Drosophila melanogaster: one gene and its partners. The protein of the gene in region 2 interacts with the protein of the main gene of each other region in a pairwise test. Each region holds a gene or a part of one and is shown on either strand. Other genes may lie near its edges. The genes, in order: obst-A, Osi6 and Cyp6a22.

Region 1 (7,171 bases), on a different chromosome or scaffold from region 2:
GTCAGCTCTGAGGAGAAGCTTATGGCAAACCCACTTGCGCTGATCCTTGTCGATGCCTGCTCCGCCGCCAATGCGACCGGCCGCCTCCTCCATGTCCTTGATCTCCTTCTCGCGACGCCGGCGATCCTTCTCCTCGCGCAGGGCGGCCAACTTGGCCTTCTTGCGTTCCAGCTCAGCCTTGCGATCCATTTCTCGGGGCGATTAGCTGCTGCGATTTGCTGTTCGAGTGGGCGTTCGGTACGGGACTCTAGATCTCTGGCGGGCCAAGTTCTCTGCAAGGGGGATGCATGATTAATGGTCGCCAATATTGGTAGCTTTGATGATGTCACCAACTGCTGGCCAGAAGCAAAGAAAGTGGGTGCGCTGTGTGGTTCTCCACCGCTCGCTTGGCGTGGCGCAGCCAACTCATATGTTCTCCTATCGCCAAGTGGAGCACATTTCCCGGTAACCCAGTGAGTGGCCGTCACTTTACTTTCCTTTGCTCGGCCAAAAAAAAAAAATCAATAATCCAGCGATTGGACTGTGACGTCTTTTCGCCCTGGCTGCGTTTTTCAACTTCCTTCTCTCACTGCTCTTGTGATTTTTCCATGAAATGCACAAAAACCCACCTCTTGACTGTCTTTACTCGTTGTTCGGCTGCTTTTTAAGTACTTAAATCATCATTTTTCAACAATGTAAAAATGCGACTGACTTTTAATGTTTTGACTAACTAGAGATGGAACATCGCCCACGGCCAGTTACTTCGCACAGTTATTGGCACACGAAGGAGATAATGGGCGCGGCTGGTTTACATAGATGCCCAAAGGGTGTGGAAGACTAGGATTCTTAGCGGGATTCCGAATTCTTAATTAACACAAGTTTAAACACAAGAATAAGATTTTACTACTGTACGGCGATAGCTGTGAACAGCTGTCGTGACAGCGATAGTTCCAGTCTTTCCATGCACTAGCGCAGCGATCTGGCAGCACTACTGCGTTTAGCAGAACGCTGTTAGTTACAGTTACATTTCACATACACTGCAACACACTTTATATTTATTAATATTTATATTTATTTATGGAAGAAATCTACAAATCATGCTTAAATAGAGCTTCAAACTGAATATATATATATATATATATATATATATATTATATTATATATTATTAATTATTAATTATTAATTATTAATATTAATTATAAATATATTAGATTAATATATAATTATATTACCATAATTAATAATAGGTAAAAAGTATGTTAATACAGAGATATGCCGCATTTTAAAATTGTTATGTTATAGGTGGCTTACAGTTATCATAAAAAAGTTTTGCACACTCACACACATGCACTATGAAATATCAGTGTTGCTTTCTGAAGCGTAACTTTTAATTTATAGATTCAAGAGAGGTATCTGTAGGTAAATTCGAATTGATACACAGTACCTTAATGATAATACACTGATGTCCCATATGCATACAAAATTAAATAATCCTTTTAGGTCTAAAATTCAGCTAAAATTAATGCCCACAACCTGTGCATTTGTTTGATTAAAATGCTGAGTGTGAAGTACTACAAAATGTAAAAATTAATTAATTAAGAAAGGTAAGCAAGACTATTCTTGTAAAAAATTACCAATACCGCTGAAATTCCCATAGTGACTCAAAACTACTGAGCTTACAAAATACGTTCAGGGTTCTGAAAGTATGTACATACATACGTATGTACATATGTATGTAGATATGTCGTGTTTTAATTGCCCCTCCAAAGTGCCAATTACATTCAATGCGCGTCTTTGGGCCAGTGAAATCACCAGAACCCGCCGTGGAAATAGAAAGCGCACTTAGGCGATGTGTCTTTCCACAATGTATGCCATAATTTGTGCCACCAATGCCAGATGTTGCTGCAACGCGGGGCGCAAAGCGAATCCAACAGTAGTACGTGCCTTCGGTCGTATCTGAATGTATCCGAAAGTATCTGAAAGTATCTGAAAGATACCGTATCCAAAGTGCCAAGGAAGAGGTTTTCATGGGGTTAAAGCGCCCATGAAACTTTTGGGGATTTTATTTCGATTCGATTTGGCGCATCTGCACATCTGCACATCTGAATTTAAATGCCAGCATTCGACGACCCAAAAACTGTAGTCCGAGTTGCTCGTTTCGTAACCGCATTGATAAACCGGACTCGAACTGGAATCGCTCCGATGATCCCCCATGCTGCAGTAAAAACCTTGAATTGCCAAATCTTCGACTGCTCAACTTTTTGCTCCAGGCCGACAAATCTTGCACATGGGCGGGAGTTGGCAAACCGATGAGCGGATACTTAATATCTTCGCTTTTTCCCCGCGCTAATTGCCAGGCCAAACCTGTCGCACCGAAGTCGAGATGCCAGCGCGATTAGTTTACAAATTAATTTGCCAATTGAATTTCAGATTTAGACGTCTGGCCGGGCTTCCAAGAACCACCTCCACCTGGTTTCCACATGGGATCGGGCGAGAGTAAAAGTGTATTGTTAATTAGCCACTACACGCCGCCAACCTAAACTAGTTTCCCAGCCCGTCTGGTTTGGCCGCATCTCCGATCTCCGATAGCTGATTATATTTTCATTATTTTTTATTTCTTTCCTACTCCGATCGGAGCGGATCGATCGCATCTCCCAAGGACAGCGGCTTTTGGGTCATTGCGTGGCCGCTTAGCATATTTATGCATATATTATGTACATATATTACCGGCATGCTCCGCCGCTTGGCCGCTGGAAGCATCGGGATGACACAGTTTTCCATCCCATGGGCGTAGCTCCTCGGAAATGGCTACACCAAACCAACCCCCCCCCCTCCCCTCCCCCACCAATCACCTGTAGACCAGTTCCCAAGCAGGCAAAACTAGAAATTCTATATTGTATCAGGCATTTCATTGGATTCCTATGGATCACCATGTTTCTAATAGATATACAACATTCAATTTGTAAGATACATTTATTACATTAGTACTTGCTCTTGTTAATTTCATCATATTTTAATATTTCTAAATGATAGTTTATAAAAATGTGCTCTTATTTCAATTATACATATATAATGTATATTATCTTACCTTATTTTACCAAAAGTAATAATGCTAAATTTTTGATTTGCGGGAGTGGCGTTTAAGACATTACCTTCCAACTAATTGGGTGTGTTACTCATTACCAAGTCTTTCATCCGTCCGTCTGCATATATGCAATGTATATATAGTATAATTTAAAGATACAGATCCAGACCGAAACTACGCCCATGGCGTGTCCTCTTCAGCCTTGAAGTCTCAATTTTTGGCTGGCACTTTGGACGAAAGGACGGTCTTCCAACTCCAACTCGTCGCCAAATGGATGGTACCTGTTTGGCTGGCCTTTTGGTCGATCGATGTAAGCCATTTGCATGCGGACCATCAACCCGGCCAACTCAATTCGAGCCAACTGAATTCGGGGATCGTTGACGCATATGAATTTATTTACGTTCATTTTCGTGTGTGTGTGTGTGTTGCTTTTTTGGTCACATCGACACACTGATCGCAGGGAACGCATACCCTACTCGAACCGCATCCATCGGTCGCTCGATCGCATTTGGTTATTTGACGGTCAATACCCGGAAATGTGCAGCTGACCAGATGGCTTACAAGCTGGAATTTTGTATTTTTGCACAGGGTCAACTATTTATTACTCTATATGCCTAAGAACCACCCATTTTTAGCATATAATTTTATTTTTAAGCGAAACAATTGAATTGAAACGCTAATGGAAATCAATTTAACATCTTCTCTACCTGCATAAATGACCGCTAGATGGCTCTGCAGATCAAGATCACTAAAGAATTTGCGGCATTAAAACTGTAATTATACGATAAATAACATTGTTTTTCTTTTTTTTTAATAGCCTTTGAGTATTCTTAAGAGTTCGCTTACAAATACATAGAAGCATTTCCTAATTCTTCCAAGATTTCGATGTAATCTCCAAGTCATCTGATACAGGTGACGCCTTCAACACAGTTGATCAATGCGCGGCCTGAAGAATTCGCGTGGTGCACATTAAGCTAGGGCATCTGGCCAGCGGTTTTCCGGTCCTCGCCCCTGGACTTTCTTGTTTTTGTGCCATTACATCTCTGGCTCGCCTTTCTTCGTCGCCTTTGGAGCCCCGGCTCCATTCCATTCCCATATCCAGTCCAGCTCCAGCCGCAGCTCGTTTGGCCTGGCTCGGTTTCGTGTGGTAGTAGTAGTAGTAGTGGTGGTGGTGGTGGTGGTGATGGTAGTGGCAGTGGCAGTGGCGGGGGCGGTAGTGGCCCCGCCCATTGGCATCACTCTGCCGCAGCCGACGGCGTCGTCGCGTCGTCGGCGACGTCGAGCAGAGCCGGTAAAAAGTCTTGAAAAGTGCGCCTCTTTGGCGTTCCGTTGTTAGTTTAGTTTAACCATCGCAGCGCTTGAGTCGCGATTAGTTGCTCAAGTATCCAGTTGCCAGGATCGTTGCTCTGCTTTTTTTTTCTCAGACCCCGAGTCCAAAATGAAGTTATTTTTATGTGCCATTGCTGTGACCCTGTGTGTGGCGACAAGTGAGTGTGAATCAATGGATCCGTGGGAATGGATCAATGGATCGTTCAATGGATCAGTGGTGCCCAGTTCAAGTGACTGACGACTGACTGGCCAGTGCCAGCCCATCCGCCAAGTCAGAGTCGCAAATTGTTGCTAATTACTTTGACACTGACACCGAAATCAAGACTCGATCTCGATCTGCTGCCGCTGTGTGTTTTGGCCAGCTAAGTAGCTAAGTAGCTAAGAGCTAAGAGCCATAAGTAGCTAATCATATTTAGCCGTCTCGCAAGACTGGGCCTCAGACGCAAATGTTGAATCTGGTCGCGATTGCGGATCTACAGGCCACATGCAGATCGAGATGGAGGGCCGTTTTCCGTCTGGAAAAACTGGAATGCTGGCCAAGCCCAAGATGCTGTCTGGCTGTCTGGGCCGCTGGGGTTATGCAACTCATGCAGTTTGTTGGCCAAGTGGAAAACGGCTCTTCTGGGCCGCAAGAGAAGTGCATTGAACCCGGACCGAACGTCGTAATCTTGGCATTATGCTGAGTATGAAGCCTTCTCTGACATTTAAATTTCGACATTTCGAATCACTTACCGGTGTGTTACGGAAATCCAAAGAATTCGCGTAGTTTGAATTCCCAATTTCGGTTGTAGAAGATATTGTCAGCATAGCGAATGCAAAGGTGTATAGAAGTATGCAGTGATTTTCGCATTGTATACATTTTTTATAGCTATCCTTTAGGCGCCCAAGTAAGAGATTTCACATTGGTTGAGTAAATAGTACTAACCTATATCTAGCTTACCGAAGTCAGTGGGATTCTGGTCAAATGTATCAAGCGATAGCAACCTGTTCCAATGGAAAACCACTGATCATTTCTTGGGCCACCGGGAGTGGTGGCAACCAGGAAACCGCAAATGCGGAATTGCCATCGGTAATCGAACGTCGTTCGATCTGTTACACTTTCGAGTGCGACTGGGGGTCGCCAGGAAAGTGAAAGTGGGAAAACCAGTTGACTGAAGTGCTTGTTTCTTTCCTTTGTTTTACCCCAACACCAGCCGTGTCCGCCGCCAACTTCGAGTGCCCGAAGCCCAATGGCCAGTTCGCCGATGAGGTGCAGTGCGACAAGTTCTACGTCTGCGACGACGGAGTGGCCAAGGCGAAGCTCTGTCCCGATGGCCTGGTCTTCGATCCACTCAACCGCAAGTTCAACAAGTGCGACCAGCCCTTCAATGTGGACTGCGAGGACCGCACTGAGCTCCGTAAGTAGCCCATCCCATCACCATTTCTATTTCTAGGCTATTGTTACCGACCCCTTGGGAATGGTCACGAAAACTATGTCAAGGCAGAGCGCTAAACAGGTTATTCCAATTACATCATTACATCACCATTAACTATGTAGGGAGTTAAATTTAAATTCGCCTCTTAAGTTCAAATTTAGCTTACTAATGAAAGCATCAGTTGAAAGGATGAATTTGTAGCATACTTTTGGACATCTCTATATTTAAAGCAAATACACCACTACAATGAGCTATCCAAAAGTTATGTAGTTGTGTAGCTCCTTTGGTAGACGGAGGAACTAACCCTGTTCGGTTTCCCCTTCACAGAGGAGCCGAAGTCCAGCAAGTACTGCCCGCGCAAGAACGGCTTCTTCGCGCATCCCGATCCCGCCGTGTGCAACATCTTCTACAACTGCATCGAAGGCGACGCCCTGGAGACCAAGTGCACCGTCGGCCTCCACTTCGACGAGTACTCGGGCACCTGCGTGTGGCCGGATACCGCTAAGCGCGAGGGCTGCAATCCGGAGCAGAGTAAGTGGACCGATTGAGTCGCCGTGCGGCGGAGTGGGCTAATGGTCTGGCATGTGGTGTGTACTTTCAGGAACCTCCGAGACCGGCTTCGTGTGCCCCAAGGATCAGCCAAAGACCGACGATCGCGGCCAGGTGGTGACCCACCCCAAGTATCCGCATCCCACCGACTGCCAGAAGTTCTACGTGTGCCTGAACGGCGAGGATCCCAGGGATCTGGGCTGCCAGCTGGGCGAGGTCTACAACGATGCCACCGAGATGTGCGATGCTCCCGAGAATGTGCCCGGCTGCGAGGACTGGTACAAGGATGTGGACGACAAGAAGGACTAAGCCACTTCCGGTCGCTTCTACTTCTCCTCATCACATCCACACTCACAACTCATGCACATGCACACGCACACACAAGCACACTGAAAGAAATTATCAATCAAATCAAATCGAAACAATTCGAAACAAATCAACACACAGATTCGCGTCTTAGTCACTTAAATTTAGTAGTTCTAGCCCATTTCCTATAGAGCGTATGTGTAGCAGTTAAACTTCAATACTCTGACCTATCTATTTCTTAACTATCTTTCTCTATATCTGACTACTTCTAACTACTTTTCTAACTACCCAAATCTCCATTTCTGTGCCCAACCAAACGCTGCCAAATTGTTGTGTATATATTTCCCGCTTTCAGACTTTCGCCTTATTATTATACAAAAAGAATAAACTGAATTTTTTATAAACTATCTATATCTATCTATCTACTATAAACTATCTTCCCAATCCCAAGACTACTACTATTCCATATACTGTTTCAGCTATCCTATGTGATCTTCGCCTAAAATT
Region 2 (7,171 bases):
ACAGTACATAACAAACACATATAACAAATAGGTTTTTTGATAAGCGTCAGCTTCTGCTGACCCTTGTCAAAGGAGATCGGGAAATGAGATCCCTTGGTTGCCTTCTATTGAGCCTCCTTGGTGGGCGAGATCTGTTAAGGGTGGTAGTGTGGTGCTTCGCACAAACCACTCGCAGCCGGTGATGAGTCTTGCTACCTTATTTTGAATAGCCTGGATCCTTTTTATTTGGCTGTCGCATGCCAAGCCCCAGATGTGGTACCCAGACTTCCAGAATCGTCAGCTTGTTGGATAGCGACAATTTACTGCGCGAACAAAGTAGCCAGTAGTGCTTCGCCAACTTAGCACGTAGGCGTGTTCTGATGTCAGTCACATGCTTGGGAAATGTGAGTCTGCGATCCAGAAGCACTCCAAGGTACTTTGCTGCGTTCGGCTGTGGTACGGGGGCTTCCAATAAAATCCTGTCTTTTAGTGGATTTGGCAAATAAAATTTTAAAAAGTTGGTTTTTGTACGTTGCCGAAGAAATTGGTTGGAAATGGAATCTGTTGAAGCATTTCATTAAAAATAGATTTTAGAAAAGATATAAACATAAAAAAACATAATTGTGTAAGGACATGTTTCTAATTCTATGCTTCAAGGATTCTGTTATTATTACTTAAAGAAAAAAAAAAGAGGACAAATGATTCATTATGGTACTTCCCACTTTGAATAAATATGCATTTCGTAGAACTCAGTTCAGGGGAATAGTTTCATTTCCCAAATGGTTTCTCACAAGGCGCCATGCACTTTCCCTTTTTCTGAGCAACAGCCCATTTGTGACACGATTGTGTTCGGGAATGACCGTGTTTTCAATGACTTGGGAGTGTCTGTTTTCACTGCCTCCACAATCACCGGGAATGACTTTGCGTGTTCCTACGAGTGCGTCTGGACAATAGCTATTGATTTAAAGCGTGACACCTTCAATGGAGAACTACTTAGGAATTTCACTTAGCAAAACAATTCAAAAAGAAGAGTGAGAAGAGTCCACGATTGGGCCCGAAATGAAGTTGTAAACTGCGGTAGAAGCAGAACCAAGCAGTTGTGTGCTGAGCAAGCAAATCAAACAACGAAACGCCAACCAACCGGCCCCAATGATCATAGAAAAGTGCTTTTAAGCCATTCGGCGACACATTAATTGCTGACGTATTTGTGCACGAAGAAAGCCAATAGGCAGTCAATGTGCACAGCATCCATGAGCCAGCCCCCAAAGTGGGTCATATTCATAAGTAAAGCACCTATCGGCCCATCAGCCATCAGCGGCTGTAAAGTGCCGTTCTGCCAACCGGCAACTGCAGTTCAGTTCAGTTCATTTCAGTTCAGTTACTTAGGCTCAATTGAGCCGGGCCCATTTCGACGGCGTTTACAACTTTCTTTGGGCCAAAAGGTGCTAAGCGTCGCCTAACAATGGGGCTCCGTCAGGTGGAGAAATATTAAAATACAATACGATGGTGCCCCGCCTTGAATGAACCGAAATGCGCGTAGCTAAATGTTTGTTTTATTTTTCAGCAAATTGCCTTTGTTCATATGTGCCTTTGTTCACAGTGAAAATGGAGTTTACCAGAAGCAGAAGAGTGGAAGTGAAATAAGTGGGTGAAATTTAGAAACCCCATAAAGAGTTCGATTTTTGGAGGCTGATAGCAGGAAGAATGAGGCGGGTAAAAGTGAAATGAAAGTTGCGCCATCCACGTGCAAATGCTTTGCTAGACAACGCGGCGTATGAGTGATGCTGTCGAGGGCTGTGATGGCGAGTTGCGTATGCAAACCGAAATGAAAATTGTGTGGTGATGAGAAAAGAGAGTCGTGTTGGTAAAGTATTTTTTATGTTTGAATTATTATTTGATTCTTTGATTTAGCAGCATTCGGTTGGTCTTTCCCGGGCGGTAAAGTGAGAAAGTCCAGATAGTCAGACAGATATGGATAGACAGATAGGTAGATAGATTAAGGTAGAGGTACAGATAGAGATAGTCGTAGAACAGAGATAGATGGAAACAGATGAGAGATAGATACAGTTAGATGGGCGAGGCGACTGGCTTTGACTGATGGATCGACTAGTCGCAAAGATTTGCAGTCCATTTATCAAAGGTGCAGCCATGAAATTGAGATACAGCGTGAAGAGTGAGGAGTGCGGAAAGTAGTAAAGATTCCTTTGTGGAGGTTATTGGCGGTTCTGGATGAAAGGTGGTGTTTGGTGTTTGGGTGTGTCTTGTTATTAAGTGATTGTTTTTTTGTCTAATGGAAGGCACTTTGTTCGTCTCGTACTTCTCGTTCAAGTAATAAATTAAAATAAATAATTTATAAATAAATATAAATATAGGTCATCATTTTTAGCGATTGTTTCTCTCTCTCTCCTTGGCCTTCGTCCTTCGGTTAATTTGGCTCTTGACCAATTGTTTACCGGCGGGCCTGCTTGTATCCCTGGTAGGCGATGGTCTGGGCCACAGGCGAGCTGTAGGCACCATGGGTGTCCCAACCCGAGCTGCCGCCAGAGGACCATCCGGCGCTGGAGGCACCACCACCCGAGGACCATCCACCGGTGCTGGCAGCCGACGATCCACCGGCGTTCTTGCCGCCGAAGAGACCTCCCAGACCGCCGAGCAGACCGCCGCCGCCTCCGGATCCACCGATGCGTCCCAGTCCGCTGGAAGCACCAGCAGCCAGAGCCAGGAAGAAGGCGATAACAGACACAACCAGTGCCTTCTTGGCCAGGAACAGTAGTCCGAAGATGGAGCCGACTCCAAGGACGGCGATCTTAGCACCAACTCCCAGCAGGATGGGCAGGAACTTCTTCAGCAGCTTCTTCTTGCGGGTACGGGACTCAACAACCAGCTCGCGGAGATCAGCCTTGATGTCATCGGGAATGGCGCGGGCCACGCTGCGAGCGGCGTTAGCGAAGTTGAAGTTCAGGGAGCGTTCAGCGAAGAAGCTCTTGGCGTTGTCCATGAAGTAGTTGCCCATCTCGGCGGTGCGGGCCTCCACGGTGGGAGCGGCCTCAACAGCCAGGGAGTTGTCCAGGGACTTGCCCTGACGACCTTCATTGGACTTCACCAGAGAAACACCACCGAAAAGCTCGATCTGAGGGTTATCGAACACGGACTTGGCCTTGCGGAAGAGCTGTGGAGGAGGTAGTGGGGTTTCGAATTAGAGCGAACTGTAATAAACTGTGATCTAAAGTCTAAAATATTGGTCATTGAGGATATGTTTGATTGATTGTTATAATTATATGACTTCATGTGTATGTAAATAAGTGGCTAAGGAAGAATTTAGTTGTGAGTGAAATTTAAAATAATTTCTTAGTTTGCAAGTAAGGGAAAATTTGTTGTTATCAACTGTTTTTAGATTTTAGAATTTTAGAATAGAATTTCGATGATATATTTTTAGCTCGGAAATATAAAAGAGATGTGCTTAGAGCAGCTGGCAAGTCTAAAAAACACTTTTAAGTGGTAATGTTGTTTTCACATCTTCCTGTCAGGTGTCAATTGTGTTTGGCAAACTACACACTCTTTTCAAAATTGATTATTGCGAAATAGTTGCAGCTTGACAGGAAGCTGTAAAGAAACTGTTTTTCACTTTCACTTCAATAGTATCCTTTAGATCACATGGGACAACACGTAATCGGTGATCTATTGATTTTTTGGTTTCACTTTCACTGTTAAGCATCTTTGCAATTGTTCTCGATTGTGCTTTGATCTTTCGTTTTGTAATAGGGGTATATAATCCTTAGGGCCTAGATAATCCGTACCGTGAGCTGCAGGCACGAGATGGAGTCGGACTCGAGGCACTGGGCAAAGGCGCCGGGCTGCTCCTCAGCGGCCTTGACGGGATCGGCAGAGATACCTGCTGCCAGGAGCAGGATGCAGGCGGTGGCAACGAAGAACTTCATGCTGGTGGCTGGGTTGGTGGATTGGTGATTTCTGAGACTGAATTCCTTTGGCACCACCGAAATCACTGGTGTGTTCATTCGAATGGAACAAGCTGCGGTTTGATAACTTTTCGCCGCTGTCAGGCTGTTTTTAAAGAGTTTCCAACGTAGCGGTCGCCTCGGCAGCGGCATAACGTAAAATTATGTAAAAAGCGCCGGTGCCCACACATACAGCTAGGGTCTCCGTCGCCGAAGAGCCTGAGCCCTCTTCCACACGTGTCTGCGTGCTCTTTCTGGCATTTTGACTCTGCGAAGACGGCAGCTGCCCTCTCTTTCTGACCGCAGCGCTGCCTCTCTTTCTCAGCAGCCTCCGAGCTTAGAAGCCGCATTAGGCAAGCGCAGGCAGAGCTTTGTCTGCTTCCGCATTAAAGAAAGTCGCTGCGCATGAGCATGCGAAGACGAGTCTTCTTCGTCTTCGGTCGACGTCAGCGCAGGCAGCAGGGCTGTTGAATGTGAGAGCACGAGAAAGTTTCCATCGGAGAGCCAAAGCCAAGGTTGTTCGTCTTCTCTCCCCCACACACTCATACACATGCGCGCATCACACACACACACAGCGAAGAGACCCCTGAAGACGCATCTTCCCGCAGAGTCTTCTGCCCATCTCCTCGAACAAACGCACGCAGACAAAGAGGTGTAGTTTCTTCTGGAGCCTCACAGATTACAACACATGAAGTGATAAACAGGTGCTGCGCAGGTTAACCCTCCACACACCCCGACTCTTAACCCGTGGATGCCGGGCCAGCCCCCCCCCCCTCCGCCATAATATGTGTCATATATTCTTCTGGATTTTGTTAATTTTTTGAACGCTTTTGTTTTTTGGGCACTTTGCCGCAAGAAATGAAAGTTGTCTGTATAATATTTTCATACTACTGTTATTTCTGGCCCTTGGTCTGTATGTCATCTCCGTTTAATACCCCCCGTCGACCCGGTATCACCGAAAATAGTTATGTTTACCGCATGTGCGCGTCTTGAAATTACTTTTTATTTTCGTGACTTTATTGTGGTTCTGTTTTTATTGCGCAACATAAAGTGTGATATATAATGACAGTTATTTAACCAGGACAGGGTCTGGAAACAGGATATCTGGGAGCCGGGATCTAGGGCCAGATAGGCACGTCCTACTCGGGACTTTTCCTTCGGGCAGTTCGAGTACTCAGGTGAAAACACCTCTGCGGGCATAATCATAAGGAACGGCCTGACTCGGCAATTGTGACACATTAGTCAACAATTTGAGCTTAGCAAAAGTGCAAATAACAGCTCGCTTCAATTGCTCAAGTGAAATGAAAGAGAAATTACACGAAAAGCAAACAAAAACGGATGCGCACAAGACGCCAGATACCCACAGATGATGGACTACTGCACTTGGCGAAATCATCACATAGTTGCTGTATTTTAGCGAAATTTACTTGATTTGTTTTATCAAGCTGTCAAAAATAAGTAAATTGATGGAATTACAGTAAGTTCTGATAAGCTTTTAATAGCATATTAAATTGGCATTATACAGTAAAGATGACACAAACTTATTCTGCGTCCGCGACGCTAGAATCTGCAATCAATGATCCAATGATCCTTTACTATACATAATTAAAACTCAAATTCCATATAGAAATCGATTGAATTCGGCGAAATAAAATCATGACGATTTTCCTCAGTGTGCTTGGATGGATGGTAGCTTTCTTGGAAAGATCCGAGCTCCCGTTTCAAGGTGAATGTATGTGACTGACGACATCCGACACTATCATACGGATCTGGTGCGGTGCGACTTACGAAACCCCTGAATCATCCGCATAATGGACGCCAAATTGTCGATGGGCGATGGGGCGTATGTGTAATTTGCTACCACAATTAAATCGGCTTTCAGTTGGCCGTGTGACGTCAATCGAAATAAGCGTGCAGTGGTAAAAGTGTGAGGCATTTTGTAACGCAACATCAACGTCGAAATGGGTGCAGCCTCCCCAGAGGAGAAAATCAAAACAAGTGATGCGATCTTTAGGCTGGAATTCCGCTTTGCGTTTCCTTCGACCGCCATAAATCGGCACACATTCGGATGCAAATGGGTTCGGAGCTGCAAAGCCATGCAAATTCGAATGCCGTTGCACATCCGTCTTAACGGTCGAACTTATGTCGGTTCACGCGCCGAGCGTGAACGCCTCCATTTGTCTGGCGACTGGCATGTGCCAACTTCCAACTCCCAAACTACCATATACCAACTACCAAATGACCAACAGCCAATGGCCAAGAGCATGGCGAACAGGCTTGGCCATTCATGCGACAAGCAGCCGTCCAAGTGTCCAGTGTGTGAGCTTTTATGAATGAATTTCGCTCGTAGTTGGAACTGGCATGTTGTTGCTGCTGCTCGATATTGCTGTTGTGTTTGAGGTGTTGCTGTTATTGTTTATGACTGTCCCCGAGCTGGGTAAACAAATCGCAAGTGTCTTGAGCCGCTCTGAAAAAAAAAACAACGCACAACTTGTACATTATGTTACATCAGAAACTGACTGAAACAGTGGAGGTCAATATTTTGTCCATGAAAGAACCCAGCTTTCGATTTTTCGCCACTTTTTTTTTTTAAATTTCGGCTATCCGAATAGCAGGCAATTCATAAATCCTTCGTCCAAATCGCCGGGGTATTTACCTCCCTAAAGAGCACAAAGGGGTAATTTCTGTAAGTTATCTTCCGGTTGCTATATTTATGTTTATCTATGTAGTTGAACAAGACACAAAGGAAAGCTGCTTTTTGGCTTGATTAAAAAAACTTGAGCAACCTTTGGAGGAACTTCTTAAGAATCGAAGTACAAAATTCATAGCTCATTTAGATTAAATTTTAAAAAGGAACTTAAAATTGGATAATATTTATAACAACGTTTCTAACTAAGACCATCCATCTCTGGCCAATTCTGAACTTGCGTTTTCACTCGTTTAAATTATGCACTTGCCTACAAAAAGTTAATGTCTTAAGAAAGTTGGTCACAAGCCTCCGAAAAGATGGTCAAGTCAAACACCACCGCGAAGAAAATCTCAATAATTACACTACTTATTAGGCCAATGGCTGAGTGGGCTTCAATCAGCAGATCGAAGAGCGGAGCGTTCGTTCGAATCGGTGATTATTTTGGGCCCGCGGAGATATCATCGTATTCTCACTTTCATTTTGCTTGACATCAATTTGGGCCCAAGACTCATTAGTGGATCGGGCCAAGACGACGATGATGACCGTT
Region 3 (7,171 bases), on a different chromosome or scaffold from region 2:
CGAAGATGAGGAAGTCGTGGAGCTCTTTGACTCACTTCGCTTGCGGCTCGACGAACTGCTGTGGCTAGAGCTTCCACTCTTTCCAGACCGACTGCTGCTGTTGCGCACAGGCGATTTGCTGCGCGACCGACTAGACTTCTGTGAGGAGCTAGATTTGGCCTCCAGCCGAGGATCGTTTCGTGCCGGCGCAGCTGGATGTGAGGATGCCGCATGCATCTGGCGGGCTAGTCTCGGATCTCGTTGGCGCACCGAGTTCAACAGTGCCGGATTGACAGGATGGACTTTTGGTTTATTCGCAAAAAGCTGTAATTCCATAGTTGAATTAGATTTTTTATAGCTTCCACCATCATATTTCACAATTTACCTGCGGAGCCACTGGCATGTTATGCATTACGGGACCAACATTGCCCATTACTCCTGGAGCTCGTTGATTATGCACTGCTATACCGGGATCCGTGATTGGCGGACAAATTGCTGCTGGAGTGGGAGCAGGCATAATAATCGGTGCTCCAACCATCGCGTCCGTGGTTTGGGTCAGCTGACGCTCCTGCTCCTCTAAATGCTTTTTGGTTTGCTCCAGCTCCAGTTCCAGTTTGCGCTTCTTGAGCTCCAGCAACTCACGAGTTTTTGCTTGCAAAATCTCCTCCATGTCGCTGGTGATTGTGGGGTTACCAGGCATCCCAGGAACCAAACCCTTTTTACAATTGAATGGATACATTGGTCTAACTAAAGGGATTAATAGTTATTTGGGGCACTTACCGGTTTTAAGAAATCCGGATTAACATGAATGGCCGGATTGACGTGAATTTTGTTAGTTGGCTGTTTGGCAGTAATGGGCCAGTTGTTATCTAGGCGCTTCACCTTAACGTCCAGCGCGTACATCTTGGATGGCGGGAACACCTCGTTCCAGGTCTGACGCAGGGCATACATGCGTTCCCGCACCTTTTCCAAAACCTGCGACTGTGAGTGCTGGACCTGCAGGATTGAAATAACATTAATGAACCATTGGATTGACATTAAGAAAATGATTTCGCTTACCGATTCGAAGGCGTGGAGGAATATGTTGACTATGCACTGTCCAAACAATTGGACGTAGCTGCTTTTCACATTCTTTACTATCGAATCAATTAAATATAGTATGGGCAATTTAAATTCGGGCGCCACCTGTTAGAAGTTTAGTAAAATAGGTAAGAAATAAAGAAGAATAAGTGTCTACGGAACGTCGCTAGCGGAGATTCAAACGGATAGGTTGGAAGAAAACTAATGAGACAGGCCGATGGACAACACAAGAGCAGGGTCAGCGATCGTCCACCGAAGTCATCATCCTCATCTGCTGGTGGTGGGTGCCTTCATGCCAAGGCGGTCGAACTCAAACAATATCCTAGCCTACAGAGAAATATTTTCCTAAGCATTGGGTGTTGAATGAGGAAACGCGGTGTCTAAGGATCTCCAAACATTAAGGGTTACAGTGTTGGCGTATGATGTTAGCGGTCTGTTCCCTTAGCCGAGTGAATATGAATGAAAATCGCAGTGACAATGTGGCAGAAACAAAGGCTTTTACTACTCTTACGTATTATGGACATTTGTTTTTGTTTGGCTGCAGTTTTTTTTACTTTTACGAAAACTTGCACTTTTCTTTTTGTAATACAAAAATTGCTGCACATCAATTTTTTTTATATTGATTGTAAGCAGTCAAAGTTTTTGTATAAAATAAAAGACAACTTGGTGACAATTGTTTAAGCATTTTCTCTTTTTATTTATTTTTCAATATTTTTTTAAAGGTTGTTTGTTATTCCTTAGCTTTAAACTCTGGGATCCAAAGTAGAAAGAAATAAGAAACGAGGAGCAGGTTGGTTAAACTTCTTACCTTTGTAGATGATTAAAATCAGTCACGGTTTATAACCCAAATTATGAGATATATACTAAGATTATTAGGAACCTATCTACCATTTGTGCCCAAGAGTTTGCAGAAAAACCCAACTGAAAGAACCGAGTCTTAGAAACGCATATGTGTGGCCTTCGTTGGGTTTCTCTGCAATCAAAGGGCAACCGCAATCAATAAACTGCACATTCTATCACAATTTCGATATGGAGAATCACTTTTAGTGTCGACCGTCTATTAGCTGTGTGTAAGCTGGAGTGTCTTTGTTTTTAAGTAAATACGCTTTTGTTTTGTTAACCTGGCTGATGTAATATTCCACCACTTTAACTATGATGTGGGCGTAGTTGATGTTCTCCTCGGCAAGCATCGTGAGCATATTGATCAATGGCTTGCTGTTGCAGTTGAGGTCCTGGAGACTTGACAGATACTCCTCGCCGATCCTTCGCTCATCGTCGCGGTAATTCTGAAATAGCTGCTCCATTGTGGACTCTGTATTCCAGATCTTGATCCGGATATTGATCAAGTTATTTGGTTTGAAGTAGTCGCAGTTGCTATGTTTCGACTGCAAGGGAAAATATAACAAAGTAATTAAATGACATGAAAAGCAAAGGTAATTTGTGTGAAAAAGTTTGCACTATTAATGGGATTTTGTCGGGATATTTTGGATGAATAATGTATTAAGGTTGCGATGTTTGTTAGCGATATCTTCATCTCTGCCCATTTTATTTGTAATAAACCGTGATGCACTGAAATCTTAGGCTGCACTATGTGGATAGATAATCCTGTATACAGCGTATCTATGTATGTAATTCGTACCAGACGTAAACAATCACGCGCGTCCACAAACACAAGGTAATCTCTTACATATATACACACACACACGTACGGAATGACGACGAAAATTCAATATGGCGGCCATGAGCATATTTTCGCATGTGTGGCCTGCCCGAATAAATTAACCAATAAAGTGCTTGTTTTTCCTTTCTGTACATCGCATTTCACGCTTTCACGAAATATTTACGTTTTAGTGAAACTATCTCGTTGCTTAAATTGATTTAACGGAGATTTTCCCAGACAAAGCCACGTTTGTGTTACCACTACATACACACGCGAGTTATCAGTTCGACTTCAATTTACTTTTTCGCGCTGCAGAACATTTAAAAACATACCTTTTTAAGCTAATACATTTGTACAATCACTGCCAGACACTTTTGCGAGGAAAAAATTTCACAAAAGCACTGCTACTATATAAAAATTAGCTTTTGAAAACTCTCACGTAACAACTGCGATGTATTTTTGATGACTTACACTTAAAAGTGTGGCCGTCGACGTGAAATGGAAATTATACATTTTATACAATTTTTATTTAAGGAAATATACTAAAAATATACCATTAAGGTATTTTTTGCATTAAACCGCGTTGCCAACCACTAGAAATGTTAAATTTTAAAGTGCCTTTAAAATTGCAGTATAACTAATTAAAAAAGAAATTAATGTTAGAAGTGTTTTATTTATTTAGTTTTAATGCAATATGCACTATTTAATTTTATAGGCGTTGCCAATTGAATTAATATACCACCAGGTGGCGGTAGTGGGCGATCCGAAAATTAGTATTGTTTCTTTAACTTCATTTCTTCTAGCCAAGTAACGGGTATCTGATAGTCGAGAAGTTCAAGAAGACTATATAATAAGTCTGATATTAGATCAGATAAAAAAAGAAAGAAAAAAAACAGATAAGAAATGCAAAATTCTTATCATACTTTTAATTACGCTCATATAGTAAGCAGAGAATAAATGCATATATTGCATAGACTTTTTCTTCAAGGCGGGTGTTCTACAGTTATCTCTCACTATATCAATTGCATTAACTTGAATCACCGTTAAAAGCTCGTCAAGTCCGAGCTTCAGTTCGATTTGTTTTCAGTGCGCCTAAATTCTATGAGACGAGGTTATCTGCCTAGGTCTGTTTACACTACTGCAGCTGATTGTAAGCGGAGCGAATAGAGGCGTTGGTCCAGTGTTCAGTTCATAGTGAATCTATTCGGGGAGAGGATGCTGGATGTAGTGGCTCTACTGCTTATTGCCCTGGCAGTGGGCTTCTGGTTCGTGCGGACGAGATATAGCTACTGGACCCGGCGGGGCATTGGCAGTGAGCCGGCCCGGTTTCCCGTGGGGAATATGGAGGGATTTCGGAAAAACAAACATTTCATCGACATTGTAACGCCAATCTATGAGAAGTTCAAGGGCAATGGAGCACCCTTTGCCGGATTTTTTATGATGTTGAGACCTGTGGTCTTGGTCACAGATCTGGAACTGGCCAAACAGATCCTCATACAGGACTTCGCCAACTTTGAGGATCGGGGAATGTATCACAATGAGCGGGATGATCCTCTAACTGGGCATCTATTCCGCATTGACGGGCCCAAGTGGCGACCCTTGCGCCAGAAAATGTCCCCCACCTTTACCTCAGCTAAGATGAAGTATATGTTTCCGACGGTCTGCGAGGTGGGCGAGGAACTTACTCAAGTTTGTGGCGAGTTGGCGGATAATGCCATGTGTGGAATCCTCGAGATCGGTGATCTGATGGCTCGCTACACTTCGGACGTGATAGGACGGTGTGCCTTTGGCGTGGAATGCAACGGCCTCCGGAATCCCGAGGCGGAGTTCGCCATAATGGGCAGGAGAGCCTTTTCAGAGCGTCGCCACTGCAAGCTGGTCGATGGATTTATAGAGAGTTTCCCCGAAGTGGCCAGGTTTCTGCGCATGCGCCAAATCCATCAAGACATTACGGATTTCTATGTGGGCATCGTTCGGGAAACTGTGAAGCAGAGGGAGGAGCAGGGCATCGTGAGGAGCGACTTCATGAACCTGCTGATCGAAATGAAGCAGCGCGGTGAGCTCACCATCGAGGAAATGGCCGCCCAGGCATTTATATTCTTTGCGGCGGGATTCGACACATCCGCATCAACGCTAGGATTTGCCCTGTACGAGTTGGCCAAGCAGCCGGCACTGCAGGCAAAGCTACGCGAGGAAATCGACCAGGCTCTGCGGTTACACAACGGTGAATTCACATATGATTCCATGCAGGAGCTGCGGTACATGGAACTGGTCATAGCAGGTGAGCCCGACTCAAAACGAATTTTAAATATTACAAAGATGATACCATTTACCACTGTATCTTTTAGAAACCCTTCGGAAGTATCCCATACTACCGCAGCTCACTCGGATCTCCAGGCATCTCTACGCAGCCAAGGGCGATCGTCATTTCTACATCGAGCCGGGTCAAATGCTACTGATACCGGTCTACGGCATCCATCATGATCCCGCCCTATATCCCGAGCCACATAAGTTCATCCCGGAGCGCTTTCTGGCCGATCAACTGGCGCAGCGACCCACCGCCGCATGGCTGCCCTTTGGCGATGGACCGCGAAATTGCATTGGAATGAGGTTTGGCAAAATGCAGACGACCATTGGCCTGGTCAGTCTGCTCCGAAACTTTCACTTCAGCGTCTGTCCGCGAACTGACCCAAAAATTGAGTTTCTCAAGTCCAACATTCTGCTGTGCCCCGCCAACGGAATTTACTTAAAAGTCCAACAGCTTAGCCAAATGAGTAGTTAGTGCTGCTTATTAAATCGCTATCTGGATTGTATTCTAACATTTAGTATCTACATTTTACAATGCTGTTATACAAATACACAATCAAATGTTTTTATCAATCAACGTAGTAGGTACAGTAAAACTGCTGTATATCTAATCAAGCTTCTTGAGCTTAATTTGTTCGATTAAATATTTGTATTTCGTCACTGACGTTATCTTAGCATTTCACCAGTTCCAGGGATTTTAAATAATGAAATCTGTTTTCCAAGTTTCATGCTTAATTTGTACATTTACGTTGGCAAAAACCAAGTTTGCAAAGAATGCAATAAAAATTACTGGAATTCGCTTTGTTTATATTTTTTTGATTGCGTAATCGCTAGATTGTTTATATACAGAGATTGTATGTATATAGATTGTTTGTTCATATATGTGTATACAACCATTTTAACTGCGCATATGATTCCCTAATTATTATTTATCACATTGAGAACAAACCTTAAGAGAACTTGAACGGTGAGTTTTGTGTGTGAAAATGAGAGATTGGCGAAAAGAGCGAAGTCCTCATACGCGAATGAGCTTGCGTTGTGGCATCCCACTTTAAAGTCAGTTTGTATTGGACTCTGGACGTGAAATGTTGTTACTGGCGCTAATCGTTGTGATACTATCACTGCTCGTCTTCGCGGCCCGACGACGTCATGGATACTGGCAGAGAAGGGGCATACCGCACGACGAGGTACACCCGCTTTTCGGAAACATCAAGGACTGGCCAAATAAGCGGCACATTGCCGAGATCTTTCGGGACTATTACTTCAAGTACAAGAACTCCGATTACCCATTCGCTGGATTTTTCTTCTTTTTCACCCGCACTGCTGTGGTCACCGACATGGAATTGCTCAAGAGGGTGCTGATCAAGGACTTCAATCACTTTGAGAATCGGGGAGTCTTCTACAACGAGATCGATGATCCGCTGTCGGCCACCTTGTTCAGCATCGAGGGTCAGAAGTGGCGTCATCTGCGGCACAAACTGACACCCACTTTTACGTCCGGCAAAATGAAGAACATGTTTCCGATTGTTGTGAAAGTTGGAGAAGAAATGGATAAGGTCTTCAGAAGTAAAACCGCTGCGGATCGGGGTCAAGTTTTGGAGGTTGTGGATCTGGTGGCACGGTACACCGCCGATGTGATCGGCAACTGCGCATTCGGTCTCAATTGCAACAGCTTGTACGATCCAAAGGCTGAATTTGTGTCAATTGGCAAGCGGGCGATCACCGAGCATCGCTACGGGAATATGCTGGATATATTCCTCTTTGGATTTCCCAAGTTATCGCGCCGCTTACGTCTGAAACTAAATATCCAGGAGGCAGAGGACTTTTACACCAAGATCGTGAGGGAAACCATTGACTACCGTCTACGGACGAAGGAAAAGCGAAATGATTTCATGGACAGTCTGATAGAGATGTATAAGAATGAGCAGTCGGGAAATTCGGAGGATGGCCTGACCTTTAACGAACTTCTCGCTCAGGCTTTCATATTTTTTGTGGCTGGGTTTGAGACAAGCTCCACGACCATGGGATTCGCTCTATATGAGCTGGCCAGGAACCAGGATGTTCAGGATAAACTCAGGGAGGAGATTGGCAATGTGTTCGGCAAGCATAACAAAGAGTTCACCTACGAGGGAATCAAGGAGATGA

The links.
Region 1: the proteins of Osi6 (region 2) and obst-A interact in a two-hybrid assay, tested with the Drosophila melanogaster proteins (one large-scale study listed by BioGRID).
Region 3: the proteins of Osi6 (region 2) and Cyp6a22 interact in a two-hybrid assay, tested with the Drosophila melanogaster proteins (one large-scale study listed by BioGRID).

The regions. Positions count from the first base shown.
Region 1 is NC_004354.4:20,235,475-20,242,645, forward strand, and holds the start of obst-A (obstructor-A), read left to right. Parts: upstream 1-4,380; 5' UTR 4,381-4,503; coding exon 4,504-4,552; intron 4,553-5,587; coding exon 5,588-5,791; intron 5,792-6,136; coding exon 6,137-6,340; intron 6,341-6,410; coding exon 6,411-6,667; 3' UTR 6,668-7,171. Other genes in the region: sw (short wing), read right to left, coding at 35-189.
Region 2 is NT_033777.3:6,231,560-6,238,730, reverse strand, and holds Osi6 (osiris 6), read right to left. Parts: upstream 4,024-7,171; 5' UTR 3,996-4,023; coding exon 3,777-3,995; intron 3,149-3,776; coding exon 2,429-3,148; 3' UTR 1,550-2,428; downstream 1-1,549.
Region 3 is NT_033778.4:14,867,869-14,875,039, forward strand, and holds Cyp6a22 (cytochrome P450 6a22), read left to right. Parts: upstream 1-3,497; 5' UTR 3,498-3,661; intron 3,662-3,769; 5' UTR 3,770-3,934; coding exon 3,935-5,000; intron 5,001-5,067; coding exon 5,068-5,501; 3' UTR 5,502-5,597; downstream 5,598-7,171. Other genes in the region: Pcf11 cleavage and polyadenylation factor subunit, read right to left, coding at 1-303, 365-694, 760-975, 1,039-1,164, 2,181-2,363; Cyp6a17 (cytochrome P450 6a17), read left to right, coding at 6,112-7,171.